2 linked regions of the Oryctolagus cuniculus genome follow. The protein of the gene in region 2 binds, or shares a complex with, the protein of the main gene of each other region. Links are inferred from orthologs where the notes say so. Each region holds a gene or a part of one and is shown on either strand. Other genes may lie near its edges. The genes, in order: ARL3 and CFAP36.

The links.
Region 1: the proteins of CFAP36 (region 2) and ARL3 are in contact, whole or in part, in a crystal structure (PDB 4ZI3), measured with the Mus musculus proteins. The link is inferred for Oryctolagus cuniculus from reciprocal best matches to the Homo sapiens genes CFAP36 and ARL3. Residues at the interface, in NP_080016.1 of Mus musculus: Glu44, Glu45, Ser46, Lys47, Leu48, Thr51, Glu52, Lys58, Val61, Glu62, Leu65, Glu76, Phe79, Gln80, Cys83, Thr84, Ala88, Lys89, Leu97, Val100, Leu101, Ala103, Glu104, Asp105, Phe106, Thr107, Ile108; in NP_062692.1 of Mus musculus: Leu3, Leu4, Ile6, Leu7, Arg8, Lys9, Leu10, Lys11, Ser12, Arg19, Lys35, Glu40, Pro47, Thr48, Gln49, Gly50, Phe51, Asn52, Ile53, Lys54, Trp66, Ile74, Tyr77, Ser80, Tyr81.

The regions. Positions count from the first base shown.
Region 1 is NC_091446.1:27,267,227-27,282,146, forward strand, and holds the start of ARL3 (ADP-ribosylation factor-like protein 3), read left to right. Parts: upstream 1-6,571; 5' UTR 6,572-6,580; coding exon of another isoform or gene 6,581-6,583; 5' UTR 6,584-6,680; coding exon 6,681-6,704; intron 6,705-12,884; exon of another isoform or gene 12,885-12,970; coding exon of another isoform or gene 12,971-12,973; intron 12,974-13,285; coding exon 13,286-13,429; intron 13,430-14,920. UniProt on the Homo sapiens protein: Small GTP-binding protein which cycles between an inactive GDP-bound and an active GTP-bound form, and the rate of cycling is regulated by guanine nucleotide exchange factors (GEF) and GTPase-activating proteins (GAP).
Region 2 is NC_091433.1:147,073,615-147,088,668, reverse strand, and holds the start of CFAP36 (cilia- and flagella-associated protein 36), read left to right. Parts: upstream 1-6,152; 5' UTR 6,153-6,394; coding exon 6,395-6,509; intron 6,510-10,361; exon of another isoform or gene 10,362-11,127; coding exon of another isoform or gene 11,128-11,433; exon of another isoform or gene 11,434-11,495; intron 11,496-14,474; coding exon 14,475-14,539; intron 14,540-15,054. Other genes in the region: non-histone chromosomal protein HMG-14, read right to left, coding at 11,128-11,433. UniProt on the Homo sapiens protein: May act as an effector for ARL3.

The sequences.
Region 1 (14,920 bases), on a different chromosome or scaffold from region 2:
CTGTTGCTGGTGTTGGGAAGTCAGTCAGTGAGTACAAGATCTCTGTCTCTCTGCCTTTTAAGTTAAAAAGTTATTAAAAATGAAAATAAGTAAATAGGGGCCAGTGCAGTGGTGTAGTGGGTTAACGCCCTGGGGTGCTGGCATCCCATATGGATGCCGGTTCTAGTCCCGGCTGCTCCTCTTCTTTGAAAAAAAAGTGAAGCCATTAAGATTCAAACTTGTGTCTATATGGGATGCTGGTGTTGTAGGCAGTGGCTTAATTAACTAAGCCACCTCACTGGCCCCCAACTGGATATTCTAACTTGAAAGAAAGTATAAAGGACTGGGTTGGAAGTAAAAAAACTGAGTCAGCAGCATCAGGTAATTAAGTAGTATTTTCCAGTGAGAACGGGAAGAGTAGAGCTCTGAAGACAAACCCTGAGGAAGTGGGGCAGGTGCTGTGGTGCAATGGGTTAATCTGCCCCTTGTGACATCCCATATCAGAGTGACAGTTTGAGTCCTGGCTGCTCCACTTCTGATCCAGCTCCCTGCAAATGCACCTGGGAAGGCAGCAGAGGATGGCCCAAGTGTTTGAACCCCTGCCATGCACATGGAAGACTAGGAGACTAGCTTTACATGGCCCACACCTGGCTGTTGTGGCCATCCGGGAAATGAAACAGCAGATGAAAGATCACTTTCTCTCCATTGCTCTGTCCTTCAAATAAATAAATCTAACAAAACTAAACAGAATCTGTGAAGTCACTACAAATGAGGCAAGCTCAGAAAAACAAGGCCCAAAAGATGAGAAAGAAAAGCCAAAGAGAGTGGGGAGACAGCCATGGTCACTTTCTAGATTTACTCACTTATCTACTTCAGGGTCAGAGAGACAGATACAGAGATTCCATCTACTGGTTCACTCCCCAAACACCTGCAAGAGCTGGAGTTGGGTCAGGCTAAAGCTAGGAGTCCAGAACTCCATCCTGGTCTCCCATGTGAGTGGCAGGAGTCCAAGCACTTGAACCATCACTGCCAACTCCCAAGGTCTTCATAGGCAGGAAGCTGGAGTCAGGAGCTGGAACTGGGAACGAAGATGGGCATTTGAAGCACTAAGGGTAAACACACACTCCTAGTTTTTAGATGTTTAGTTAGGGTGGAAGGGAATTTAGGAAGTTATATGATGAGGGTAAGCCACTTTTTTTTTTAGATTTATTTATTTATTTGAAAGGCAGAGTTACAGAGAAGCAGAGACAAAGGCAGAGAGAGAAAGAGAGAGGTCTTCTAGCCACTGGTTCACTCCCCAAATGGCTGTAACGGCTGGGGCTTGGCCTGGCCAAAGCTAGGAGTCAGGAGCTTCTACTGGGTCTCCCACATGGGTGCAGGGGCCCAAGGACTTGGACCATCTTCCGCTGCTTTCCCCTAGCACATTAGCAGGGAACAGGATCAGAAGTGGAGCAGCAGGGACTCAAACCAGCACCCATATGGGATGTGGGCACTACAAGCAGCGACCTTACCTACTACACTACAATGCCAGCCCCAGTTCTTTTTTCTTAAAAGGGACTTACCAGGGCTGGTGCTTTGACACAGCAAGTAAAGCTGCCACCTGCGACATCAGCAACTCACATGGGCACCGATTCAGGTCCCAGATGTTCCACTTCTGATCCAGGTCCCTGCTAATGTGCCTAGGAAAGCAGCAGAAGACGGCCCAAGTGCTTGGGCTGCTGCACCCACTTGGAAGACCTGGAAGGGGATCCTGGCTCCTGGCTCCTGGCTTTGGCCTGGCTCATCCCTAGCCATTGTAGCCATTTGGGGAGTGAACCAGCAGATAGAAGATATATATCTCTCTCTCTTTCTCTTTCTCTCTCTGTCTCTGCTTCTCTGTAACTCTGCCTTTCAAATAAATCAATAAATCTTAAAAAAAAAAAAAAAAAAAAAAGACTCAGGCATAGGTCTCAGTTCTAACTGAACCAGGAGTGGGAAGAGGTAAAGAATTGGCTTCCCTGGACTCTATGTGAAGCTGGGAGTCTGGCTGACCAGCAAGTCACTCTGCCTTGGCTTACACAACCCTGGGCTCACAGGTGCTGGGGACAGCCTACCGAGCAAAATGCTATGCTCCCCCCCAACACACACACACACACACCTACCTCAAGTCAGCATTGCAAAGTCCACTGTCCCACATGGAAGTTCTACCACGATAATCATTTGCTAAATGATGCAAGAATCTTTGCCCTCCTTACTGGGGTCAGGATGGAAACAGAACAGTCCTTATTTTATACAAACCACAAGACCAAAAAGACAACTCGATTATTTGTCTGGAACAGCCCCCCCCCCGCCAACATCCGCTGTCCGCCAACGGGAACAGTTCTCTGACTCCTGCAGGGCACCAAGTCCTTGCAATAAGTACTCTGGCACCCGGAGCTTTGCAGCATGCTGGGCTGTTAGCACTGCCGGCTCCCTGCCATTTACAGTCACTCATTTACCTGGCCTCCCCGACAGACTGTAAAGTTCACGGGCATCAGGACCAAGTCTAGTGTTCCCTGCTGCATCTCTCATATGCCCTCTACAAACGTTTACTGCCTGCCTGAGATGCCCTCCAGCAGAGGCCTGGGTTCTCCTGGCTCCTCTCTGAAGTCATACTCGGGAACTGCCTTGCTCAGAAGAAGAGCAGGTTATTTCATGAAGCCGCAAATTCTACCCTGCTGTACGAAGGCACGTGTGGCCTCTAAGTTCTCCTACACGGTTTCCCTCCGTCTTCCCGCACAAGCCGCATCTAGCCTTCCCTAAAAAAGGCTACCATTGGGGCCGGCGCTGTGGCACAGTGGGTTAATGCCCAGGCCTGAAGGTTCGCCATCCCATAAGGATGCCGGTTCAAGTCCCAGCTGCTCCACTTCCAATACAGCTCCCTGCAAATGTGCCTGGGAAAGCAGCAGAGGATGGCCCAAGTCCTTGGGCCCCTGCACCCACGTAGGAGACCCAGAAGAAGTTCCTGGCTCCTAGCTTCAGATTGGCTCAGCTCCAGCCATTGCAGCCATTTGGGGAGTGAACCACCATATGGAAGACCTCGCTCTCTCTCTGTCTCTCTATAACTCTGTCTTTCAAATAAATAAAATAAATCTTTTAAAAAATAAAAAAAGAGGGGGCTGGTGCTGTGGCGTAATAGGTAAAGCTGTTGTCTGCAGTGCTGGCATCCCATATGGCCGCCAGCTCAGGTCCTGGCTGCTCCACTTCCAATCCAGCTCTCTGCTATGGCCTAGGAAAGCAGTGGAAGATGGCCCAAGTCCTTGGGTCCCTGCACCTGCGTGGGAGACCCAGAAGAAGCTCCTGGCTCCTGGCTTCAGATGAGCACAGCTCCAGCCCTTATGGCCATCTGGGGAATGAACCAGCAGATGGAAGACCTCTCCCTCTCTCTCTCTCTCTCTCTCTCTCTGTGCCTCTGATCTCTGTAACTCTGCCTTTCAAATAAAATTAAAAAATCTTGAAATAAAGAAAGAGAGAGGGGAGGGAGGGAGGGAGGGAGCGAGGAAGGAAGAAAAGGCTACCATCGTGTCCCAGACAGCCCTACTTCTGTTGCATTACAGTTCCACTAGGAACACGGTGGAAATGAAAACAAAGATTGACTAATATCTGCCCTGCAGCACTGGAGAAGGTCACAGCTGAAGGGCATGGGGACCCACGATGTCTTTATAGGCGCGAGGCTGCCAGACTCTGAAGTCAGACCAAAGGCCACTGACTGAGATGGATGAAGATTCCTATCACGGTTTCCTAGAACCCAATGGACATGAGAGTGGGTCCAGGAATGTTAGCCAACACTCACCTGACTCCAGGCTGCTGTGATGTTAGGCGCCTGACAACCTGAAAGAAACCTGCCTCGCTTTTCTCACAAAAGAGCCAGCCACCTAAAAATGATGGATCATAGGGGTGCATGCCCCAAAGCACTCATTCATCTGGCACCTCCTGGGTCAAGGTTCTGAACTGCGTCTTTGCTCCAAAAATCTAAAGCTGGTATGCGCGTAGCTGATTTTTAAAAAATGATTCATTTATTTGAAAGTCATATTTACACCGAGAGAGAGAGGAAAACACAGACAGAAAGAGATCTTTCATCTGTTGGTTCATTCCCCCAGATGGCCACAACAGCCGGGGCTAGGCCAGGATGAAGCCAGGAGCCTGAGCTTCCACTGGGTCTCCCATGTGGGAAAGGGGCCCAAGCACTTGGGCCATCTTCCTCTGCTTTCCCAGGCACATTAGCAGGGAGCTGGATAAGTAGTGGGGCAGCCAGGACTTCAATGGCGCCCATTATGGGATGCAGGTGTTGTAGGTGGCAGCTTTAGCTGGTACGCCACAACACCAAGCCCCAGGTGTTTTAAAAATACTTTGGGAGTGGATATTTGCCACTGGGGTTAAACCATCATCGGGATGCCTGCATTCCATATTAGAACCTGAGTTCAAGTCCTGGCTCTGCTTCCAATTCCAGCTTCCTACGAATGTCCAGTCTGGGAGGAAGCAGGGGATGGGTCAGGTAATTGGGTGCCTGTCACTCACATGGGGGTCCTAGATTGAATCCAGGCTCCTGGCTTCAGCCTGGCCCAGCCCCAACTGTTAAGGGTGTTTGGAGAGTGAATCAGCAGGTGGAAGACTTCTCTCTCTCTCTGGCTTTCAAATAAAACAAACAAATAAATAAAATACAACAACCTCTAGTTGAATGTGTAAACAGTTAAAGACCACTCAGGAAAAATATCTTCATTCTAATGATCTTAACTAGACATAGAATCCGGCTGGTAGGGAAAAAAAGTCCAAAACCCTAGATGAAATTATTGACAGCTAGCCCTAGGGCAGACACTTAGCTCAGAGGCTGGGATGCCTGTATCCCACATCAGAGTGCATGGGTTCAATTCCCAGCTCTGGCTTTCTTTCTTTTTGATTTTATTTTATTTATTTGAAAGAGTTACAGAGAGAGGTAGAGCCAGAGAGAGAAATAGAGAGAGAGAGAGATCTTCCATCACTGGTTCACTCCCCAAATGACTGCAGCTGATCCAAAGCCAGGAGCTTCCTCTGGGTCTCCCACACAGATGAAGGGGCCCAAGATCTTGGGCCATCTTCTACTGCTTTCCCAGGCCACAGCAGAGAGCTGGGTTGGAATTGGAGCAGCCGGGACTTGAACCGGCACCCATATGGGATGCCGGCACTGCAAGCTGGGGCTTTAACCCAATGCACCATAGCCCCTGGCTTTCGACTCCAGCTAGCTCCCAGGTGGGAATCCTGTATTGAGTTCCTGGCTCTGGGCTTCCAATCAGCCCAGGGCCATCTTGCGCATTCTGGGAGTGAACCAATGGTTAGGTGTTCTTTCTCTTAAAAAAGAGCAAAGTAAGCCCTTAGATAGTGCTTCCTTTGCGGCAGGCAATGCTCTATGCATCTGACAGATAATATTCATAATTCACATTACCCTCACTAGAAACCGCTGAGGTCACAGGCACACACACGCACATTAGCAAGCTTCCAGATGTATCATTTGCCCCCAGACTTTATCAGCTCTCCAAAAGCTCTTGGTTTCCATCTGTGATGTGTCCCTCCCACCTGAACAACTGTGTTTAGGAGCAAAGTAAACAAGTGTGTCCAAGTCGGTCCAAGTCCAAACTCGCCATCTGCAACAATCAATTTCTGGAGTTGTGCGGTGAAAAGCAGTTCTCTAGGAAAGGCGACATTTCCATGAGGGCAGACTGTCCACCGCAGTGTGCCGAGATGCGGGCCTACCACTAATGCACGTGCTGAGACTTACACGGACGGGGTGGGGGCGGCGCTTCCCAGCTCACCCAGAACCCGTCTCTCTGCCCCCTGAAGGGAAGTGCAGGCCCGTTTTTGCCTCCAGGTCCCAGCTCGGGGTTTAGAGCGGTCAGGAGGCTGCCCCCGGCCCTCCGACCAGGAACCTTCACCCGCAGGGACTCCCTGTGGAGACGACTGCACAGCCCCTAACCCCCACCCTTCTGCCCGGCGCTCCATGGCAGCTAGAATCCGAGCAGTGGCATCTGCGAGCAGCTCTAGGCCACTCCTTGAACCACGTGGCTTCTGCAGGTAGAAGTCTAGCCCCCACCCCAGCCCAGCGCAGGCGGAGTCAGGACAGAACTCCCAGCCCTCCCGGGACGTGGCGACTGCAAACCGCTGGGCAGCCTCCGCTCAAGACCCTTTACCTGGCCGCAAGAGGGATGCCTGACACAGCCGCCGCCAGATGTAGCCAGCCGCTGCAAGCCGGGCCAGGGTGCTCCGCCTGCCAGGGCCAAGGGACCGCCTTCTCGCCCGCCCACGCCCCTCCTCCTGGCCAATCAGGCACCGGGAGGCTCCCGCCAGCCACGTGGGCGAGTTTTCGCCGTTCCCTGGGTCTCCAGCCCCCTCTGCAGCGACCCCGCCCGCGCAGGGGCGGGCACCTCGGCGCGCTTGCGCACTTTGGAGAAAGCGAAGCCGGACCCCGCCCAATACGGCGGCTTTGCTCCTCCGCTGTGCGTGCGAGGGACGTCGGGGGCGGCGCCGCGGCAGTTGCCCCTGGTAACGGGGGAGGCTGCAGGAGGAGGAGGAGGAGGAGGAGGAGGAGGAGGAGGAGGGATTCGGCGGGAGGATGGTGAGTGTGGGGACCCGGGCCCCTCTGCACCCGGCCGATCACCCCCCTCCCCGCTCCAGGCCCAGGGCGGAGCCCCGCGCTTAAAGCCGAGGAGGAGATGGGAAGGCGCTCAGCCTGCAGTGTGGGTTCTGGATTCGCTTTGAGGGGCGGCGGGAAGCCCCGAGGGTGGGCCCAGAAGGGAGGCCTGGGCTTAGGGAGGAAGGCGGGGCTTGCGACGGGTCCGAGGCTTGGGGAAGGGGCTGGCAGAGTTGGTGGCTGGCCGGGTACCGAGCCCAGGCTCCATCAGTGCCCTGGTGGCAGGGATGAGGGCAGATCCGGGGAGCTGCGGAGCAGCCGCCTCCGCACGCAGGCTTGGATCACCCTGAGACTCGGCCTCCTCGCGCTGCAGGACGGGGTCCGGGCCCGCAGCGGGGAGAAGGTGGGCCCGCGGCGCCGGGGGACGGTAGCCGGGCTTGGGCCCCCGGGGTCCGATTCCCAGGACAAAACGAGGTGCGGTTGGGATGCCTGGTGGGTTCCACGCAGTGTCGGCGGCTGCGTGGCGGGGGCGCTTCTGAAATCCCGAGCTATTTATTCATTTGCTCAGAGTTCCACAAGATCCGGTTGCTGATGACCGACGATTCGTTCAGTCCTTAATCTGTGTGGATGGAAACAAATTGGCTTCCCGGCCCCTACCATCTCCTTGGAAACCTGTTGCAACCCCGTTTTGCATGTGGCCACACCGGGCCCCAAGGTCTTGATCCCCACGTGGGGTCTCCAACCCCACCTCCGGCAATGAGGGAGGGAAGCTAGAACTGGAGAATAGGCGTGAGTGGGGCGAGCGTTTCCTCTGTCAACCCTAATTAAGGCTGTGACAAATCGCACTTTTTGTGTGATGGATTTGACAGTTCCTTGTTGATTTCTGTGCGGTGGCATTGAGTGACTTTTGAGCTAGTCGTAGAAAAATCGATTTGTTAAAGATTTCGGAGCAGCTTGGTTGGTTTACCAAGTGCAAAAAATCCAGTAAAGGAAACTTGCAGTAACTTTCCACCCTGCCCCCTTGTTCCTTTCTGACCTTTCGAATGTTGAACCATTACTATTAATTTAAGAAGTAAGAAAAATCCAGATGACCGGGAGGAGAGAGTACATGTTTCCCTTTGGTCGATTATCCATTGAGTAAATTTTGATAGGAAGAAAGAGCCTCAGTTGATTTAACATTGTCATATCGCTCCCAAAGCAGAGCTACTTGATCTGACCTTGCCATCACACTTCGCACTTGCTACATTTGTAGCTTTTGAAACCTCAGGCTAAACAGATTTTTGCAAGTGTTTTCTTTTTAGTAATCATTTATACATGAGCAGTCCACTTGAAGGCTAGGTTTTTCTCAACCTATGAGTGCAAACATAAATATTTACACAGAAAATTCCTAAAATCGAAACAAAAAAAGGCATGTCAAACCACCAGAGAGTGAGATTTGTCATTATCGAGGACCGCACCAGGTGCACATTGGCACTGTATACAGATTGACAGTGTGTACACAACACTGTTGTATACAACTGTTGTCAATAATCAAAACAGATTGGGGGTTTGTCTCTTCCTTTTTTCTTAAAATGAACAATAAGAAAGTAGAACAAATTATTCTGGATTCTTTATCTGGTTACCAAATACACTTTTTTTTTGGTCTATTTCTAAAAGAGTGAGCTATTCTTAGGATTGGAAGTAGAACACTGAATTTAAATGGTCAGTGATGTAATTAAATATGTCACATCTGGTATCCCCAGGAGCCCCATGCTTCACTGTACAACTGAAAACTGAATTCCAGGTTTGGAGCTTTTTTTGTTTTGTTTTGACAGGCAGATCTTAGACAGTGAGAGAGAGAGACAGAGAAAGGTCTTCCTTCCGTTGGTTCACCCCCAAATGGCGCACTGCGCCAATCTGAAGCCAGGAGCCAGGTGCTTCTCCTGGTCTCCCATGGGGTGCAGGGCCCAAGCACTTGGGCCATCCTCCACTGCCTTCCCGGGCCACAGCAGAGAGCTGGACTGGAAGAGGAGCAACCAGGACAGAATCCGGTGCTCCATCCAGGACTAGAACCCGGGGTTCAGGTGCCACAGGCGGAGGATTAGCCAAGTGAGCCGTGGCGCTGGCCAGTTTTGAGCTTTTTTTAAATTTCAGCATCAACTGATATATTTAAAAAAAATTCAGGTTACTGCAACCATTATTGGTTTCTGTGAACATTTAGAGTCAGCTGCATTACTCTTGCCTTATGATACCAAGTTCTTGAAGAAGTACCAAGATGACAGTAATCTTAGCACATAACTAATCACTGTTATTTACTGTGTGACTCCATGCAGTAGCTATTTGGGGATTGCTTTCCACCCCTGTGGAGCTTGGGGCAGTTGTCAAGCTTATTCAACACTGAAAGCTTATTCCCAGCAGTGTTTAAGTTTTCTGGTCTGAAAATGGTCAGTTAAGGAACAAAAAGCCCGCAACTACTGTTGGGAGTGCCTACCATGTGGCATGCTTTCTATCTGTTACTTCATTTAATGCTCTTGGCATTTTTTTGGGGGGTGTGTCTATTGCTGTTCCCATTTCCTAGATGAAAAGATGCCCCAGGTTGTGTGTGCTTGGAGAGGGAAGTTGAATGAATACAAATCTGAAATCTTGAACCTCCTAGTGAGGCCCACCCTGGCTGAGGAGATGCCTGGGAAACCTTGTGTTGTTATTTAGTAGAGTGGTGATGAGAAAGATGACAAAATGTCAGTGAGATTTTCCCTTTCAAAGCTGTAGAAGTTTAAAGAAGTAAGAATAAGTAAGTAAAAATGGTCAGTTCCACTTAAGCTAGTCATTGGGAGGGGCCGTCTTTGAAAGTTGGCTTTGTAATTTCAATATGTAAAATGTTAGCTCATTTTCCATACTCCAACACATCCCTGTCCCCCTCCACCACTCCAGTCTCTTTGAGTGACCTAGTTTGTAGCATCATTTTAGGTCAGCGTGCCATGCCTCTGCCAGTAGCTGAGTTTAAGCTGATTTTAAGGCAGATAAAATGTCTGGAGGCATGATTTGCTTGTAGAAAAGTTAGTTTAAGTGCTTGTGGCTGAGTCAGACCACTTCCGTCCACCAGGGTGCAGATAACTTGTAAACACCCATGCTAGTGACACACAACGTACAATTAACTGAAATTCTTGTTTTCTTACTGCCTTTGTTTAATGTCGGAGGAATGTGGATCCTGCATAGAGGTCCTGTCCATTTTGCTCACTGTTGTACTTGGGTACATTATGGCTGTCTAATAGGATGACCCATAATGAATGGATATTTTGACCAAGAATAAAACTTGTAAAGTTCATTTATACTGCAAAGCTCAGGCAAATGATAAATTTAACTTCTAAAGGCTATCTCCCTTGGTTGGACATTTAAGATAGAGCATGGGTGTATATGGATGGAAGGGCAGAATGCTCCTAGACTTACTCTGCTCCCTTCCATTCAGCCTCTCTTGAATCAGCTTACTCTGTACCTTTCAGACAGAACCCTGGCATCTATAAATGTCCTCAGCCCTATTTAGCACACCTGGTAATCCTGTGTGCCCCTGTCCTCCGTAGGTGGATTAGTAGCCTGCTGCATTGCATTTGTATCCCTAGGCCATGCTTGACATGACACTTAGCATTTTGCTGCAAGAAAATATTAGCAGAACTTTACATTTCTCCGTAATTTCACCTATAGGTGAAGCACGTAAACTTTCTGTTTCCCAATTAGAAGTGAAGACGTATAGTATTCTGGGCCATTAGGTTAGTAAAATTTCTCTGCAGTCAGGATGATTGCTTTAACCTCTGGGCTGTGTTCTCTCCCTTTCTTTTAAGATGAATATAAATGATACTTTTAATTATGCAGTTTCAAATACAATGAGTTGTGTTGAAAATCCTAGCCTGCAGAAAAGAGTATTTTATTTGATGTTTTTTTAAAAAGAGAAGATACATGAGAGAGAACCCAAAACATCAAGCTTAGAAAGCAGATCTAGGTGGGCGCCGCGGCTCACTTGGCTAATCCTCCACCTGCGGCGCCAGCACCCCGGGTTCTAGTCCCAGTTGGGGCGCCAGATTCTGTCCCGGTTGCCCCTCTTCCAGGTTGGCCTCTTCCAGGCCAGCTCTCTGCTATGGCCCGGGAGGGCAGTGGAGGATGGCCCAAGTGCTTGGGCCCTTCACCCGCACGGGAGACCAGAAGCACCTGGCTCCTGCCTTCAGATGGGTGCAGGCGCACCAGCAGTGGCAGCCATTTGGGGGGTGAACCAACGGAAAGAAGACCTTTCTCTGTCTCTTTCTCTCTCTCATTGTCTAACTCTGCCTGTCAAAAAAAGAAAGCAAGCAGATCTTCATCACAGTTTCTTCACTTGTGGGTGACTCAGAAGATTTTACCTGTATGTCATTTAATGTATTAATACGTTCCAGTTTTTTGGGATTTACTGTAAGAGATAATGGGACCCTTTTTTTTTTTTTTCACATCCAATCAGGCACTCGGGATGAGTAGTGCATTGTGTTTTCCCTGTTCTTTGTATCATTCTGAAGATCTCAGAATTGTAACTATTCTGAAAGGTGGTATTATAAATGAGTGATTGCAAATGGAAGCCCAGGAGACTTCTTACAAATACAGGGGTTTTTTTTTGTTGTTGTTGTTTGTTTGTTTTTGACAGAGCTTAGACAGTGAGAGAGAGAGAGAGAAAGGTCTTCCTTTCTGTTGGTTCACCCCCCAAATGGCCGCTATGGCCGGCGTGCTGCGGCCGGCACAACATGCCCATCCGAAGGCAGGAGCCAGGTGCTTCTCCTGGTCTCCCATGGGGTGCAGGGCCCAAGCACTTGGGCCATCCTCCACTGCCTTCCCGGGCCACAGTAGAGAGCTGGCCTGGAAGAGGAGCAACCCGAACAGAACCCAGTGTGCTGGCGCCGCAGGCGGAGGATTAGCCTAGTGAGCCGCGGCACCGGCCTACAAATACAGTTTTAAGAAGGAATGGTGCCGCGGCTCACTAGGCTAATCCTCCGCCTTGCGGCACCAGCCCACCAGGTTCTAGTCCCAGTCGGGGCGCCAGATTCTGTCCCGGTTCCCCTCTTCCAGGCCAACTCTCTGCTGTGGCCCGGGAGTCCAGTGGAGGATGGCCCAAGTCCTTGGGCCCTGCACCCCATGGGAGACCAGGAGAAGCACCTGGCTCCTGCCATCTCAGCGTGGTGCGCCGGCTGTAACGCGCTGGCCGCGGCGGCCATTGGAGGGTGAACCAACAGCAAAGGAAGACCTTTCTCTCTCTCTCACGGTCCACTCTGCCTGTCAAAAAAATAAATAAATAAATAAACAAATAAAAAGAGAAAGAAGGAATGGTGTCAAAGTATTCAAGGCTAGAGGAGATTGGAAACTAAAGTGAAACAACAGACAAAAAGCCCTGCCTATATTGTGTTTGTTTCCAGTCCATCCAGTCTCCTCCCCTAAATATTTGGGCATAGAATTTGTCTTTCTATCTTAAACTCAACCTTTCATTTTGCTGCTGGAATGATTGAAGGCTGGCGAGGTTAATGCGGTCCTCAGCAAGTCAGTACAAATACAGTAGTTCAAGTGCTAAACAAGGAGCCTCCAGGCAGAAAGGAGTTCTTAATAATTATGTGTATTTGCATATCATTGTCCCTAGACCTAATTGTTAAGGATTCTTTCACAGAAGTATTGTTTGATCTTAGTGAACAAACTGGTTTGAATCGTTGCCTGCTGCCATGTGGATAACAAATACAGCCATTTTATATATTGTTAGACTCAGCGTGAAGGAATTTCTGCTCTGGCTGGGAGATAAGATTATATGCCCTTTCAACTCTGGGATTCTTTGAGGCTTGTTGCAGCCATGCCTCATTCGACTGTCAGCTGCAGGACAAAACAAATAACTATCACATAAAAATTGTCTCGGTGGCTAGCTAAAAAGCAACGTGGGTTATTTTCATCCATAAAAATAATAAATAAAAAAGCAACAGAAATGTTAGATGACTATTCAGAAATACTCTGGTTATATCTGGATGTTTTTCTCTTCATGAATGCCCTTTCCAATTCCTCAGTTTCTCTGTTGTATCCGATTTTTCATCTGAAAAACCCAGGTAATCTGTATAGCATGTGTGTAGCCTGAAATGCTCTTGTGAAAGTTAGACTATGATAGAGTATTTGAATGAAGTCTTAAAACATGAACTGAAATAGATAGTCTTACATAGAGAGCTCAGCTACGATCTTTAAGTGCTTGAAAATGTTGCCTTGACTCGGGTGGGTGATTCTGTTGAATTTGATAGCTGTTACCTGCTGTCTGTCTAGTAAGTGCCATGCGCTGTGGAAGACAGAAGCTGTCAGTCTTACCCGTGAGAAATTTCACCCTAGTGAAGAAGAAAAAATACAAAATCAATTATGGTGAGTAAAGGTTTTCAGGAAAACAGAGTGGGTAGTAGTGCGCACTCACAGGAGAATTGGGGTGACTGTTAAGCTGGATTAAGAGGAGGAGCAGGAATAAGCCAGGCTGCTTATTAACTTGCTGAGTTTACCGTAGTGTGTCTGCCAACACTTGGAAGGAGCAAGTAAATGAACTAAGTGGCATTAGAGTGGAAAATAATGACATAAGCTCTCCATAACCAAGAACGTTTTTCAAGGAGAAGTCATTCTGATGTCCAGTAATGTCAAAACCAGTGCCCCTAAAGTAATCTCTCTCCTTCATGGTTGTTTAAGGGCTTACTCTCAATTTTGCGCAAATTGAAAAGTGCACCGGACCAGGAGGTGAGAATCCTTCTCCTGGGCTTGGATAATGCTGGCAAGACCACCCTTCTGAAGCAGCTTGCATCGGAGGACATCAGCCACATCACACCTACACAGGTGAGCACTGCCTGCCTCCAGGTGCTGTGTGACTGGGGAAGGAGGCTAACCGAGGTGTGAAAGACCACGTGGGAAATAGAGTTTTGTCCACTCCCATGATCTGTTTCTGAGAAAAGTCTATACAGTCTAAGATTAATCAGATTTCAAACATACATCAAGAAATTCCCTTCATATGAGCTATTTCAAGTGGCCATAATCATAGAGAAAGTTAGTTTAGTATGGGGCTTACTGGCACTGGGAGAATTATGAATGTGGAGGTGTTGTTTAATAAATATAGGTTGTTTTTTTTTTTTTTAAGATTTATTTATTTGAAAGGCAGAGCAGCAGAGAGAGAAGAAAGAGAGAAATTTTCCATCCACTGATTCACTCCCAAGATGGCTGCAACAGAACCAAAAATTCCATCCCAGTCTCCCACATAGGCGATGGGTGCAGGGTCCCAGGTACTTGGGCCATCTTCCCCTGCCTTCCCAGGCACCTAACCAGGAAGCTGGATTGCAAGTGGAGCAGCCAGAACTCAAATCAGCACTGTGACATGGGATGCCAGCATTGCAGATGGCAGGTTATGCCGCTAGGAGATAATACCAGCTCCATATTTTTTTAAATGAAAAAATCTCTGTGTGAATATACTTAATGCCACTGAACTGTGCACTTTTAAATGGTTAAAACAGCACATTTATGTTATGTATATTCTACAATCTTAAAAATATATACCTACATACAAGGGTGCTTCAAAGTGTTTTTGGAAAAATGAAATTAAAGTTTATGGGGCAGGCGTTGTGGCAGTGATACCTGTATTGCTTACCACAGTGCCTGAGTTTGAGTCCCCACAATGATTCCAATCAAGCTTCCTGCTAATGTGCACCCTGGGAGACAGCAGGTGATACTCAAGTGCTCGGGTCTCTGCCACTCACATGGGACATCTGGACTGAGTTCCAGGCTCCTGGCTTCAGCTTGACTCAGCCCTGGTTGTTCTGGACATTTTGGGAATGAATGAGCAGATAAAGAAATCCATGCATTTGTTTTTTTATAATATACATTTTGTATAGCTTTCTAAGACCCCTCATATTTATGGATTCCTAGCTCTTTTGCACGAAAACAAACTTACCTTTTAGTTCCATTTTTCACAAAGTTTTCTTTTTTTAAAGATGTATTTATTTATTTGAAAGGCAGAGTTACACAGAGAGAAGGAAAGGCAGAGAGAGAGGTTTTCCATCCACTGGTTCACTCCCCAATTGACCTCAATGGTTGAAGCTGTGCCAATCTGAAGCCAGGAGCCAAGAGCTTCTTCTGGGTCTCCCACCTGGGAGCAGAGGTCCAAGGACTTGGGTCATCTTCTACTGCTTTCCCAGGCCAAAGCAGAGAGCTAGCTCAGAACTGAAGCAGCCAGAACTCAAACAGGCACCCATATGGGATGCTGGCACTGCAGGTGGTGGCTTTACCCGCTACACCACTCTGCTGGTCCTCACAAAGTCTTTGAAGTACCCTCATACG
Region 2 (15,054 bases):
TCACTAATACAGTAGTTAAGCCAGGAAAATGGATGCAGAAACACAATGGAAAAAAAATGGAAGAATCCACTCAGTCAGTACAAAAGGTAGGAAGGAATAGAAGCAATACAGGAAAATCATTTACACACATACAAATCAATCAATAAAATGATGAAAAAATCCTCATGAATAAAGAGAGGGAGGCATAACAGAAAAAAATCCACAAAAGACCCCAAACATTTAGAGATTAAATGAATTGCCTCATCTCCAGAAAACAAGCAAACTAGAATACATTTTCAGAGGTTAGTGTCGTCATTTCATAATATGCACTGGATGAGTCAAGAAAGGTTTTTTAGCACAACAGCATTTTACATCAAATGAAAAGGATTAGTCCCAATTTGAAAAGTCAATGTATTTTTGTTATTTCTTTTCCTTTGTTTTAAGTTGAGCTCCTGAATATTTTATAGATTACAAGAAGTACAAAAAAGAGAAATTGAAAAGGGACTGGTAACTCTGTTATTATATTTGCAAATGCAAAAAAAATCTGAGAATCCATTGGGAAAATCTGAAGCTATGGCAGGTAATTATTTGCAAACCCACGGAAACCACCCCAGCTCTTTGCTGTTATGTAAGCCAAATAATCAAGTGAGAATATTTTCAAATAACCTATTATTTAGAACTTCAAAAAGTCTTTCTCTAGCAGGAATAAAGGAAATTTACAGGATTGAAAGCAGTGTAGCAATTAGGTGGCTCATTAGTAATCTTCTGTATAGTCTATTTTAAAATGACACTTCTCTTATATTGGTATTTTTAAGGCTATTGCTAATAACTTTAAGCCAACAGACTCTAGAACCTTAAGAAAATAAATTTGTGTTTTCAAAGCTACCCAGTCTACCCAGCTGCTCCTCTTCCAGTCCAGCTCTCTGCTGTGACCCGGGAGTGCAGTGGAGGATGGCCCAAGTGCTTGGGCCCTGCACCCGCATGGGAGACCGGGAGGAAGCACCTGGTAGTGGCCATTTCGGGGGTGAACCAACAGAAGGAAGACCTTTCTCTCTTTCTAACTTTGCCTGAAAAAAAAAAAAAAAAAAAAAAAGGTGGGATGGAGCCAGTAAAGCCACCGCCTTAGATGCCGGCATCCCATATAGGTGCTAGTTCATGTTCCAGCTGCTTCACTTCTGATCCAGCTCCCTGCTAATGGCCTGGGAAAGCAGCGGAGGATGGCTCAAGTTCTTGGGTCCCTGTACCCACATGGGAGACCCGGATGAAGCTCCTGGCTTCTGGCTTCTGCCTGGCCCAGGTCTGGCCATTGTGGCCATCTGGGGAATGAACCAGTGGATGAAAGATCCCTCTCTCTCTCTCTCTCTCTCTGTCCTTCTGTCTCCCCTCTGTCTCTGTAACTCATTCAAATAAATAAATAAATCCTTTAAAAAGAACTTTAAAAGAAAACAAAAGAAGGGAAAGCCTCCAGGGAAATTGAAAAGCTCTGGAAAGACTCTAGTGCCCAGTACTGTGGAATGCAGTTAGATAGTATTTTTACAGCCTCCTCCTTCTGGTCTCTCACTTGGATGTCAGTGGTTAAAATACTTGAAATATCACCTGCTGCTTTCCCAGGTGCATTAGCAGTGAGCTGGATCAGAAGTGGAGTAGCTAGGACTCCAACCAGTGCTTATATGGGATGCTGGCATTGCAGGCAACAGTTTGACCCACTATATCACAATGCCATTACCATAATGTATCATTTTTAACTTAGCAGATGTCCAAGATACTTCCTTTTGCTTTTTTTTAAAGATGTATTTGAAAGTCAGAGTTACACAGAGACACAGACACACACACACACACACACACACAGCTCTTCCATTCGCTGGTTCACTCCCTAAATGGCCACAGTGGCCAGGGTTGGGCCAGGCTGAAGCCAGGAGCCAGGAGCTTCATCTGGGTTTCTGACATGGGTAACAGGGGCCCAAGCACTTGGGCCATCTTCTGCTGCTTTCCCCAGGTCACTAGCAGGGAGTTGGATCAGAAATAGAACAGTCAGCCAACACTGGAGGCAGTGGCTTTACTCACTGTACCACAAATGCCATCCCCTGTCAAAGATATTTTTAAAAATCTGTTCAGTAATTTTCCCATGAAGAATTTATTCAGAGGAAACAATGAGAACGTGTTTCAGGAACATATGTACAAGTGCATTCATTACATAGTTGTCTATGGGCTTAATACAATGAAGTAACGTTATGTCTGGCAAAAAAGGACATGATCAAAGTATGATTGCCATACAATTTCCCTTAGATTCACAGTACTTAAAGAGGGGGTAAGTAATGTGAACAAATTTCACAGAAAACACACTCAACACATGAGGGATATTCACCACATAGTGAGTGAGTTCCAAAATTATTTTTTTAAAGATGTGCTTATTTATTTGGAGGGGAGAGAGAGAGAGAGAGAGAGAGAGAGAGAGAGAGAAACCTTCCAAACTTGGGTTTACTCCCCAAGTGGCCACAACAGCAGGAGCTGGGCCAGGCTGAAGTGAGGAGCCAGGAAATTCATCTGGGTCTCCCAAGTGGGTGCACCTGCCCAAGCACTTGGGCCATCTTCTGCTGCCTTCCCAAAAGCAATAGCAGGGAGTTGGATCAGAAGTAGAACAGCCAGGACTTGAACTGGTATCCACATGGGACACCAGTACCACAGGCAGAGGCTTAACCTGAGGCACAGCGCTGGCACCAAGGTTCAAAATTATTAAAGTCCACTAGCTCAATTAGGGTGGAAGTAGGCCTCTGTAGAAGATAGTCTAATTAAAGTTTCAGCTGTACCTTTGCATCAGTGATTTTTGGTAGAATCTGGCTTGACATCCACAGCAGACACCCAGTGAGCGTTGGTGAACTTCCTCCATGCTAATGAGCGGCACCAGTGTGGAGATGCCAGGCTTGCAAGCTTCCAGGCCTGGCCTCTCTGCAGCCTGGGTACTTAGTGTGTGGAAAAGGAGCTGACAGAATGCAGGGTGTTATAGCATATGTTTGCAGGTGCTTCTTCCCGGTCTTCTGTGGGGGTGCAGGGGCCCAAGCACTTGGGCCATCCTCCACTGCCCTCCCAGGCCACAGCAGAGAGCTGGACTGGAAGACGAGTAACCGGGACTAGAACCGGTGCCCATATGGGATGCCAGCACCGCAGGCAGATGATTAACCAAGTGAGCCACAGCACTGGCCCCGAGTTTACATGTATTTTTAATGAAGGCAAGGAGGCAGCTAGCAAGCAGAGCTGACATCACCAGCCCCTAGCTGCAGTCCAGCTTGTGCTGTAGCCCCACTGGCACCAGCCAACCACTTCCCATTTCTAAGCAGCAGAAAATTGAGGGGTCCTTGAAACTGCTGGTTTGAACCAGCTGCGGCCCAAAATAACCAACATGGTTGCAGCTGGAGACTTCATTCCAGCAACAACCTTTAGCTGCTTGTAATGTCTTTATAATAAAATTACCATGGCTGACACTTCTACTCCTATTATGGACCTGATATCATCACACTTCTGAGCTTTCCAAAAAGAGCAAGTAAATGGGTAAAACCTCAAGGTCTGCCCCCAAATCTGCCCCCTTTAAATATTCAATTTAACCATGCCCCAGACACCACCCTCTATGCCTCCAGATCACTTCCGGGGTGGACCCAAACCTCACTGAGTGCAGCTTATTCCAGTGTGCCCACTCTCCCTCTTGAGTGTGTACCTTTGCTTTGCATGCAAATCATCTTGTTTCTCTTGATCTTTACCTATGTCTTATCCTCAAATTCTTACATTGGACAGAACCTGGACCCAGTTATCTGACAATTTTGCAGTCCAGGAGTTAGGGCAAGTCACACATGGCAGCTACCAATAAAGTTATAACATTTCTGAGTACAGGAGGAATTCACTCCAAGTTCTCATGTATGGGATCAGAGATGATGTGCATTCTTAATTAAAAAGTTAAATCAGAAAAAAGACATAAACTCCAAAACAAAAATATCATGCAGTAAACTGTTTGGAATTGGAAGACAGGGAAAGTTGAACTTTCAAGACGGACCTTAAGTGGGAAATGGGCCTAAAGCTCAAAACAGAGTTCAGCTGCTATTTGCTGGCTTGCCGTTACACATTTACTCTGTTATGCTCTGTGTTTGTGGTCTGTGCCTAGGCACGTTCCTGATTCAACTGCTGAGATGGACAGCCCCCAAAAGTCCCATTTTTGCCATCCAGGCCTGACCATGAACTGAGGTCACTTTTGAGTATGAAGCCATCAGGTTACAGTGCTATCTCTGAAGCTAGCATCCCTCATCTGTATAGTAGGCCTGGATAGGAACCTGAGCAGGAACCTTATATATAACCTTTTGATCATTCTGAGCCTAAAGGCTCCTTCTCTTCCCTTGGTTGCAGACTTTTTTGTAAGTCAGAATTACAGAGAGAGACAAAGGGAGGGAGGGAGGGAGAGAGAGAGAGAGAGTCCATCTGCTGCTTCATTTCCCAAATGGCCACAATGGCTGGGAATGGAAACCAGGAGCCAGAAGCTTCTTCCAGGTCTCCCACATGGGTGCAGGGGCCCAAGGACTTTAGCCATCCTCTGCTGCTTTCCCAAATATATTAGCAGGGGGCTGCATTGGAAGTGGAGCAGCTGGGACTCCAAGTGGCACTTATATGGGATGCTGGCATTTAAGACTTTGGCAGTGCTAGCCCTAGACTGTTTTCTGAAGTCTCTTTATCCTAAATTCTTTTCTAGTGGATTTTGCTGACAGAATCATTTGAAAGCTATGTAGGAATAATCAAATCTAGTAGTTAACGATGGTCAAATAAATCAAGGTATACATTCTTTCATTTAGCAATTGTATTAAAATCTTTCCGGTGGAATAACAAATAAACCCAGCAGTTCGTGGGGCTGGCAATGTGGCTCAGTGGATTAAGACATTTCTTGCAATGCCTTCTTCCCATATGAGCACTGATTAGGGGAGTCCTGGCTGCTCCACTTCCAATCCAGCTCCCTGCTAATGTGCCTGGGAAAGCAGCAGATGACGGTCCAAGTACTTGGGCCCCTGCCTTCAGATGGGAGACCCAGATGGAATTTCAGGCTCCTGACTTCAACTTGGCTCAGCCCCAGCCATTGGAACCATTTGGGGATTAAATCAGTAGATGGAAGATCTCTCTCTCTCTAACTCTGCCTTTCAAAAAAAAAAAAAAAAAAAAATACTTTAAAAAGCCCAGCAGAGAGCTGGACTGGAAGAGGAGCAACCGGGACAGGATCTGGCACCCTGACTGGGACTAGAACACATGCATGTTTATTTCAGCAGTCTGCAGAAGCAAACAATGGTTGAATACTTAATAGCACTCCCAAACCATACAGGCAAAACAAGAAAAAAATTGCACACTAATGATCATATTTATGCATCCAAGTAAGATATATGTGCATACAAACATTTTGAAATAAAAATAGACTAAAGAGTGGTTTATAGAATACTTCGCATCTATAAGGGAAGCACTTTTTCTTATTTGAAAAGATGAAAACATACTAAGTGAAAAAGGTTTCATACTTGTACATAAGCCTATAAGGACTCCATTCACGGAACCATGTTGTATGAAGATATCCCAGGACTCCGAGAACCTTGATGATGACCTTTGAAGACTCATTCCACAATAGATCACAACCTGGAAACTGAGTTGGAATTATTTGATGTAAGATGAATATTAACTTCGATTTTACCCTTGAAAAGCTAATTGTAGTTATGTCCATTTGTGCTTGAACTTTTAAAGACCTGTCTGGAGCTACAGGAAGCAAATTGGCCGCAGAGCCTAACAGCAAGTCTTACAGAGCTTTGGTCAGCTTTGTATTTTCAGACAACCCTTCAATTACAAAGGCTTCTGGGTCAGCGATTCTCAGTGTTTGGGACTGAGGGGCTGGGATACAACGACGAAATGAAGTCTTTGAGGCCTTCTGTCGACTCTGTGGTCCCTCACTCCGCCATTTCTAAGGCTTGGCTCCCAGGGACTTCCCAGGAGGGAACACACAGATTCCTACCAGGGTCTCCAGCCAAAAGCTGCCTATACTTCTACTCTCGGCCTTAGCAACTCCGAACCAATGGGTGGAGAGGTATCTTCTGATACGCTGCTGTTGTTTTCCAACCAATCGGAAACGTTCTTCTAACGCTCTCCCCGCCCCCGTTCCCCCCCCCCCCCCGCCTCCTTTGAGAAGCGCAGACTCCAGGGAAGCCAGCTTCACTTCCGGGCCGCAGCCTGGGGCGGCTACGCACGTTGCCATAGCGACCGTTTTACGTTAACTGGTTTGTAGCTTAGATCCAGGTATCTGGGCGACCGCGGGGCCAGCTCTTCCGCTCCTCGCTGCTCCCTGTAGCCAGGAGGCCCCAGCAGGCTCCAGCGGCCTGGCCTAGGGATCCGCGTCGCCCAGAAGGGCGGTATGTCTGCGGAAAAAGACGACGAGGTGGAATGGGTGGTGGAGAGCATCGCGGGGTTCCTCCGAGGCCCGGACTGGTCCATCCCCATCTTGGACTTCGTGGAGCAGAAATGTGAAGGTAATTACCAGAGCTCGCGCCGACGTCCTTCCTCGCCTCCCTCACACCGGCCCTTGGCCGGGAGGTGGTCTCCACTCCTGTCGGCCGTGTTTAGCGCTGGTTGTGCGGGAGCAGTTGCTTTCACCCCGCCGGTGTTTTCCCTCGCAGACCTGAAAATGCAGTCTGAGATTCCCCTCTCCCTGAGCCCAGGCGCACGCCGAAAAACGTTAAGACTTTAATCCTGTGTTCTGTCTTTCACCCTACCCTGCTCGTCCCTGCCCCGGGCACGTGTACTTTTGGGGTGGGCTTTTTCAACAGCTGTTCTGGTGGCTCGGGAGGGGACGCGTCATTTTACCTCTAGGTTCCTTCATATTGCTAGTTAGCATTTGGTCCGTGTGCAGCCAGCCTAGGAGATGAGAAATGATTCACCCGAGATCGATGAGCAACGGAGAGCATGTGACCATTCAGCAAAACGTCTGTTTCCCTTGTTGAATTCTCCAAATCTCGGTTGTCTCCCAAATGGAGAGGGGTGCGCTTCTGCCCAGTGAGGCTTACAGACGTGGCATAATATTCGCGGTGGTGTGCGGGCTAAGTTTCTAATCAGCTCATGCTTAGAGTTCTATAATCAGTTCTTGGAGACTGGTTGGTGCCCATTCATAGAAAAGGAACCAGAAACCGTGTCTTAGGGGTGAGTACACACACAGCCATTATTGTGGTTGTTCAGCTGCGCAAGACTTTGAGAGCTGTGATATCTGTCAGTCATTTGAACATTTGTATTACGTTAGAGAGATTAGACTTGTTTTGTAAGGTTCGGTGGACTAGAGTTAGAGTCGCCGAGTACAAGACATAGGGGAACCGATTTCTGTGAAGGAAGGTTTGCTTCCTAACAGAATGTATTCTTCTTACTCAGAAGGTAATGGGTTTCTCGGGCACCAGCAGGTTTTGAATGGATCTGACATTGACTTAAGTTGTTAGAGGGGTTGCAACTATCAAATGATTAGTTATCTTGGATGTCCTTTTCAGATTTCTTTCAAACCCAAGATTCTATGAATCTGGTAAAGATGAAATTTTGTTTGGCCACTGATTTTTTAATCACATTCTTATTTGCCATAATAAAAATAAAAATAGCAGTTTTTAAGTGTTGTGTTTTTAAATTTTTATTTATTTGGACCGGCGCAGTGGCTCACTAGGCTAATCCTCTGCCTGCGGCGCTGGCACACCAGATTCTAGTCCCTGTCATGGTGCCGGATCCTGTCCCGGTTGCTCCTCTTCCAGTCCAGCTCTCTGCTGTGGCCCAGACGGCAGTGGAGGATGGCCCAAGTCCTTGGGCCCTGCACACCCACATGGGAGACCAGGAGAAGCACCTGGCTCCTGGCTTCGGATCCAGTGCAGTGCGCTGGCCGAGCGGCCATTGGGGTGTGAACCAACAGAAAAGGAAGACCTTTCTCTCTGTCTCTCTCTTTCACTGTCCACTCTGCCTGTAAAAAAAAAAAAAATTTATTTATTTGAGAACGAGGGAAGGAGAGAGAGAGAGAACATGAGAACCTGCTCCTATCTGCTCCCTAAAGGCCTGCAATGACCAGTACTGGATTGGACCAGGCCTGAGCCAGGAACTGGAGATTCAACCCATGTCTCCCACCTGGGTGGTAGAAACCCAACTTACTGGAGTCATCACTGCTGCTTCCCGTGGTCTACATCAGCAGGAGGCTGCAGTGGAGCATTGAATCCAGGCACTTAGAGGTGGGATGCAGGCATCTTAATTGCTAGGCTGATCACCTGCTCCCTAACTGTTGATTTTCACAGGTAGTTTTAAGAGGTTTTGAAAACAAAATAATTTTATTTGTACTCCTTTTAAAAATTTGAAATTATAAGACACTGAAAGGGGCCGGCGCTGTGGCCTAGTGGGTAAAGCCGCTGCTTGCAGTGCTGGCATCCCATATGGGTGCCGGTTCGAGTCCTGGCTGCTCCACTTGTGATCCAGCTCTCTGCTATGGCCTGGGAAAGCAGTAGAAGATGGCCCAAGTCCTTGGGCCCCTGTACCCGCATGGGAGACCTGGAAGAAGTTCCTGGCTCCTGGCTTTGGATCGGCGCAGCTCTGGCTGTTGCTGCCATCTGGGGAATGAACCAGCAGATGGAAGACCTCTCTCTCTCTCTCTCTGCCTCTCCTATCTCTGTGTAATTCTTTCAAATAAATAAATAAATCTTTAAAAACAATTAAAAAATAGACACTGATAATGCACCTAGAATTCCAGTATCCTTTAAAATAACAAAAAAAAATTATATCACTTGTTATTGCTGTTTGTCCCACTGAGGCTAAATACTAAAAAGGGAAAAAAAATTAAAGCATCGTTTATCTTTTTAACTACAAGTGTCAAAAGTGGCTGTATCCCAGTAATAACATACCGGATAGTATAATTTTATTGAGAGGCAGAAATCTTAGCCTTAGAAACTTGTACTGTAGTAATTTGGTTTCAGAATGAACTGAAAACAGCCTAAGTAGTTGTTGTATTGAATATATGTACAGTGCTACACAGAGCAGATGCCAGGGTAAATAGAAATCACATGCCAAGGACACTTCAAATACCTGTTTATATTTCACTGACTTGGCGTTGCCTATGTGCTAATCTCAACCTCAGATAATTTCAATATCAGTTTTCTACAACTTTATAAATCCAGCATTTATTTCAACAAATATTTATTGAATGTCATCCTTGGGCCAAAAGCTGGGGATAGAAAGACAAAACAAAATTCGGTGCTTGAAAATTTTAGTGGAGAAGACAGGCTGGTAAACAGAATGAAATACAGTGTAGCAGTTGATATAATAAAGGAAGACATATGGTGGTGTACATTGTAAGAGATCAGAGGAAGGGATCTAACCAGGTTAGGAGTTGGATGTGGGTAGCAGATCATGCAGAAGGTGCTACTTGGCAATATCTTGAAATGTGGTTGGGAGAGAAAGGGGGCAAAAAGGGTGGAGTAAAGGCAAAAAGAGGACAGGACTTATGCAAAGTCATGGGGATTTGAAGTGGTATATATGATGCTTGGAGGTCTTCCAAGTAGTTGTGCATTGTTAGGAGGCTGAGGCTTGGATTGTGGAGTAGGAAATGAGATCTGGAATCTTCTCAGACCTGCTTAAGATTTTGCACTTATTGGTAATGAGCAGTTGTTGAAGAGTTAAACTGAAAATTGCAGAAGTTAGAAAGATCAGTCTGGGAGAATGAAAAATTGTTTGCAATTCATGAGTTTGTCTTGGGATTTTTTTTTTTTTTTTTAGATTTTATTTATGTATTTGAAAGTCAGAGTTACACAGAGAGAAGAGAGGCAGAGAGAGAGGTCTTCCATCCGATGGTTCACTCCCCAATTGGCCACAATAGCTGGAGCCGCACTGGGTCTCCCACGCAGGTGCAGGGTCCCAAGGACTTGGGCCATCTTCTACTGATTTCCCAGGCCCTAGCAGAGAGCTGGATGGGAAGTGGAGCAGCTGGGACTCAAACTGGCACCCATATGAGATGCCAGCACTGGAGGTGGCGACTTTACCCACTAAGCCACAGCGCTGGCCCCTGTCCTGTTTTCTTAATTAGATTGTAGCTTCCTGAGGGAATATGTATATTTGAAATCTACATTATTTCACACATATAATCACATGTTTTTTAAAAAATTTATTTATATCTTTGAAAGGCAGTGTTAGAGAGAGAGATCTTCCATCTGCTGGTTCACCCCCCAAAAGTTCCCAAAGCCAGGGCTGGCCAGGCCAAAGCCAGGAGCATTATCAGGTCTCCCATGTGAATACAGAGGCCCAAACCTGCTACGCCACACCACTGGCTCCACGTTTTGGTTTTTTTTTTTTTTTTTTTTTTTTTTTTTTGTCCATAATTGAGATTTTATTGGTGTTGAGAATCAGCACACACATTTTAATTTGTACACAATTCTTAACATACGTACCAAAAATCTAAAAAGCCATGAATTGTCATTCTTTTTTTTAAAAGTTATTCCAGTGACTTTCCAGCTTCAAATTTGGAGGCAACTCTTCCTTAAGAGGCTATCAAGTACAAGTATCTTCAGATGCTGTTACATAAATCCCACCCATTCACAATATAATAGCATATACACGACACTCAAATTTTCAATCTTTCACGGCACATTAACAAAATCATTAGGAAAACTGGACTACCACAGCCGAAGATGTTACAGAGTGCACATGGTTCTGACAGAACAAGGAGTGGTTTTCTGTAGAAAACAATTCTACAAAACACGGGAGAAGTAACTGAAAATATTCAAGACAGATTAAATGCACAATTGAGACTCCAAATTGCCATTTAGTATGCGCTATACTGTAGGATATAAAAACCACCCCCACCTATGGAATGTTAAGCTGACACCCAAGACAGTCAAAGCCTCCCAGAATTCAATATGCCACTATTTTCTGGTTGTACCAAAAAATAAACAACCAGCAAATGATTTCACCTCTTAAAAAAAATCATTTACACTTAAAAAATGGGATGAGGTGGGCTTCCCTCCTTCTTAAAAATGTTTCTAGAGCTACTAAAAAACTTGCATTTACAAAATAGTTGATAAAAATATTCCTCTGGATTGTACAAGAAGGGAGACAGGGAGCACTGATAACACATGGTGTATGGTATTAATCGGACTTGGCTTCTTTCTCTTCTGCTTCATCAGAGGCTGGACTCTCCTCGTTTTTCGTTTCTCCGTTTTCTGCAGGCAGGTCTTCTTTAGCTTCTTGGTTAGCCACCTCGGCCTGTTTTCCCTTTGCTCCTCTCTTCCCCTTTGCTTGCACTTTCTTGTCTGATGACTTATCCTTCCCGGCGGCCTTCTTGGGCTTCGCTTCCACCTTGGCGGGGGCCGGCTTCGCCGACAAGCGCGCCGACCGCCTCTTGGGCTCCTCCTTGGCCGCCCCCTCGGCAGAGCTGACCTTCCTCTTGGGCATCCTGGCGGCGCGGAGGGCGCGTGCCGGGTGCCTGCGGGCCGCGGCGCGCCGAGAGCCTTCGCTGCCGCCACTCCCGCCGCCCGAGCTGCTGGGACCCGCCCACGTTTTGGTTTTTTAAGTTTAACATCATTACCGACCTATGGTGACAGAAAGGGGCTAATCACTTTCAGTAAAATTTTCATAAGAAAAATTCCAGTACAATAAGCTGGAGACTGTTTTAGAAGGATTAACGTTTAAAAGTTTTAAACATAAGATTTCATTAAAAGCTTACAAAAATATTGTTGCCTTATCTGAACACACTTAAAAGTTAATGGAGGGGCCAGGGTTATAGCGCAGCAAGTGAGTTAAGCCACTGCCTACAATATTTGTATTCTGCATGGATGCCTGTTCAGATCCTGGCTGCTCCACTTTTTTTTTTTTTTAAAGATATTATTTATTTATTTGAGGGATAGAGTTACAGACAATGAGAGGGAGAGACAGAGAGAAAGGTCTCCCATCTGCTAGTTTGTTCTCCAAATGTCCAAAGCTGGGCTGATCAGAAGCCAGAAGCTTTTTCCAGGTCTCCCACATGAGTTCAGGAGCCCAAGTGCTTGGGCCATCTTCCACTGCTTTACCAGGCCATAGCAGAGAGCTGGATCGGAAGAAGAGCAGCTGGGACCAGAATCGCGCCCACATGGGATGCTGGTGCTGCAGGTGGAGGATTAACCCGCTAAGCCACAGTGCCAGCCCCTTGGCTGCTCCACTTCTGATCCACATCCCTGCTGATGTGCCTGGGAAAGCAGCAGAAGATGGCCCAAGTGCTTGTCCCTGCCACCCATGTGGGAGACCCTGATGGAGTTCCAGGCTCATGGCTTTGAGCTGGCCCAGTCACGGCCATCAAGGCCACATGGGGAGTGAACCAAGTGAACTCTCTTTCAAGTAAATAACTAACCTTTTAAAACAAAGTTAATGGAAAATCAAAGACTTAAGTTTATTTTGGTGCAAAAAAATTGAAATCCTTGGGGCCGGCATTGTGGCATAGTGGGGTCAGATGTTGCCTCTGATGCCAGCATTCCATATGGGTGTCAGTTGCAGTCCTAGATGCTCCGTAGAATCTGGCTGCCTGCTAACGTACCTGGGAAAGTAGCAGAAGATGGCCTAAGTGCTTGTGTCCCTGCACCCACATGGGAGATCCAGATGGAGTTCCAGGCTCCTGGCTTCAGCCTGGCACAACTCTGGCTGTTGTAGCCATTTAGGGAGTAAAACAGAGAATGGAAAATCTCTTTCACTCCGTCTCTCTCTCTCTTTCTGTAACTCTGCCTTACAAATAAATAAAAAATAAATCTTAAAATTGAAATTCTTACATAGCTTTTGTTTTTTTTCAAGATTCACTTATTTGAAACTCAGAGTTACAGAGAGGCAGAAGCAGAGAGAGAGAGAGAGAGAGAGAGAGAGAGGCCGTCTACCTGCTGGTTTACTCCCCAGGTAGACACAATCGCTAGGGCTGCGCTGATCTGAAGCCCGGAGCCAGGAGCTTCCTCTGGGTCTCCTATGTAGGGGCAGGGGCCCAAGGATTTGGGCCATCTTCTACTGCTTTCTCAGGCCATAGCAGAGAGCTGGATCTGAAGAGGAGCAGCTGGAACTAGAGCTGGCACTCATATGGGATGCCAGCACTGCAGGCAGCAACTTTACCTGCTACGCCACAGCACTGGCCCTAGTTTTTTTTTTTTTTTTTTTTTTTAATAATATCGTTTTCTGTGAACTTTCTGAAGACCCTTGTGTGCATGAATTTCAATTTTTTTTTATTAAATAAATTTATTTCTTTTTTTTCAAGATTTATTGATTTATTTGAAAGGCAGAGTTCCTGAGAGTTAGAATGAGATCTTCCATCTACTGGTTCATTCCCCAAATGACCACAACAGTGGGAGCTGGGCTAATCTGTAACCAGGAGCCAGGAGCTTCTTCCAGGTCTCTTACATGGGTGCAGGGGCCCAAGCACTTGGGCCATATTCTGCTGCTTTCCCAGGTGCATTAACAGGGAGCTGGTTTGGAAGTGGAGCAGCTGCGACTTGAACTGGCACCCATATGGGATGCCAGCACTGCAGCCGGCAGCTTTTTCCCACTACACCACAGCGTTAGCCCCTAAATTTATCTTTTAATTCCATTTTCGATGAACCTTTGAAGTAACATTGCATTATTGATTAAAAAGTTGCAAATTAGTGTTCTTAAATATGAGGTAGTGTTTCTTTTAAATATTTTCCTAAGTTGGAGAAAACAACTTGTTTAAAATTAATACTATATTATTTACATATATTTCTTTTTTTAAAAAAATAAACAAACAAGAATTTCGGGCTGGCCCACTGGCGTAGCAGGTAAAGCTGCCGCCTGCAGTGCTGGCATCCCATATGGGTGCCAGTTTGAGTCCTGGCTGCTCCACTTCCAATCCAGTTCTCTGTTATGGCCTGGGAAGGCAATAGAGGATGGCCCAAGTCCTTGGGCCCCTGCACCCACGTGGGAGACCCAGAAGAAGCTCCTGGCTCCTGGCTTTGGATCGGCTCAGCTCTGGATGCTGCCATTTGAGGAGTGAGCCAGCGGATGGAAGACATTTCTCTCTTTCTCTTTCTCTGCCTCTGCCTCTCTATAACTCTGCCTTTCAAATAAATATTTAAAACAAACAAACAAAACAAACAAAAAAACCCAAGAATTTGAAGCTAAAAAGCTAGGCTATAAGAATAATACTGCAGTTCCATTTGTAAGGAGGTTAAGTTTTTTTTTTTTTTAATTTTTTTAGAGAAACATACAGAGAGCTCCCATCCTCTGGGCTGAGGTGAAGCTCAGAGCCAGAAACTCAGAGTTTAGATTTCCCATGTGTGTTACGGAAACTCTACCACTTGAGGCAAGTTAGTCAGGAGCTGTAGCTGGGCATCAAACCCTTGTATTCCAATATAAGATATGAGCATCTTAATTGGCTAACCACCTGCTCCAGAAGTAGATTTTTATATCTGTATTAATGAAATGATTGTTTCTCTACAGTATGCAATATTTTTTCCTTTTAAATTTAGTTTTTGATGATGAAGAAGAAAGCAAGTTAACCTATACAGAGATTCATCAGGAATACAAAGAACTAGTGAGTATTTTTTTCACTGATTTTTAAAGGTAATGAGGATAATATTTATACTTTCCTAAATTTGAAAATGGATTCTTTTTCATTAGCATTATTCACAAAGATCCAGTTTACCGTAACAGTACTGCCAGTTCTATCAGGCTCAGACGTTCTCTGAGCATCTCCTTATGATTTCTTGCCTCATCTACTGTGGAACTTAAGGACTGTTTTTCCAAATAATCTGATTTTTAAATTTTATTCTTATTCTTTTGATGCCTCCAGGGAGGTGTTAGTAATTTATTCAGTAACCGGTGTCTTGTGATTTTTTTAAACTACCTGGAGGTAGAAAGAGAGTTGTGTCACATGGAACTTCATAATCCTGACTTCATTTATTTCTCATAGAAGGAATTAAATTTCATGAGATTCTTCCCCCAAAGTTAACTTTTTGTTGTTTGTTTTTTGGTGAAAGACAATGTTACTACCACATAATATAATATGGAGATTGATATTTGCATTGGTTATACTTTTATAAAGATAAT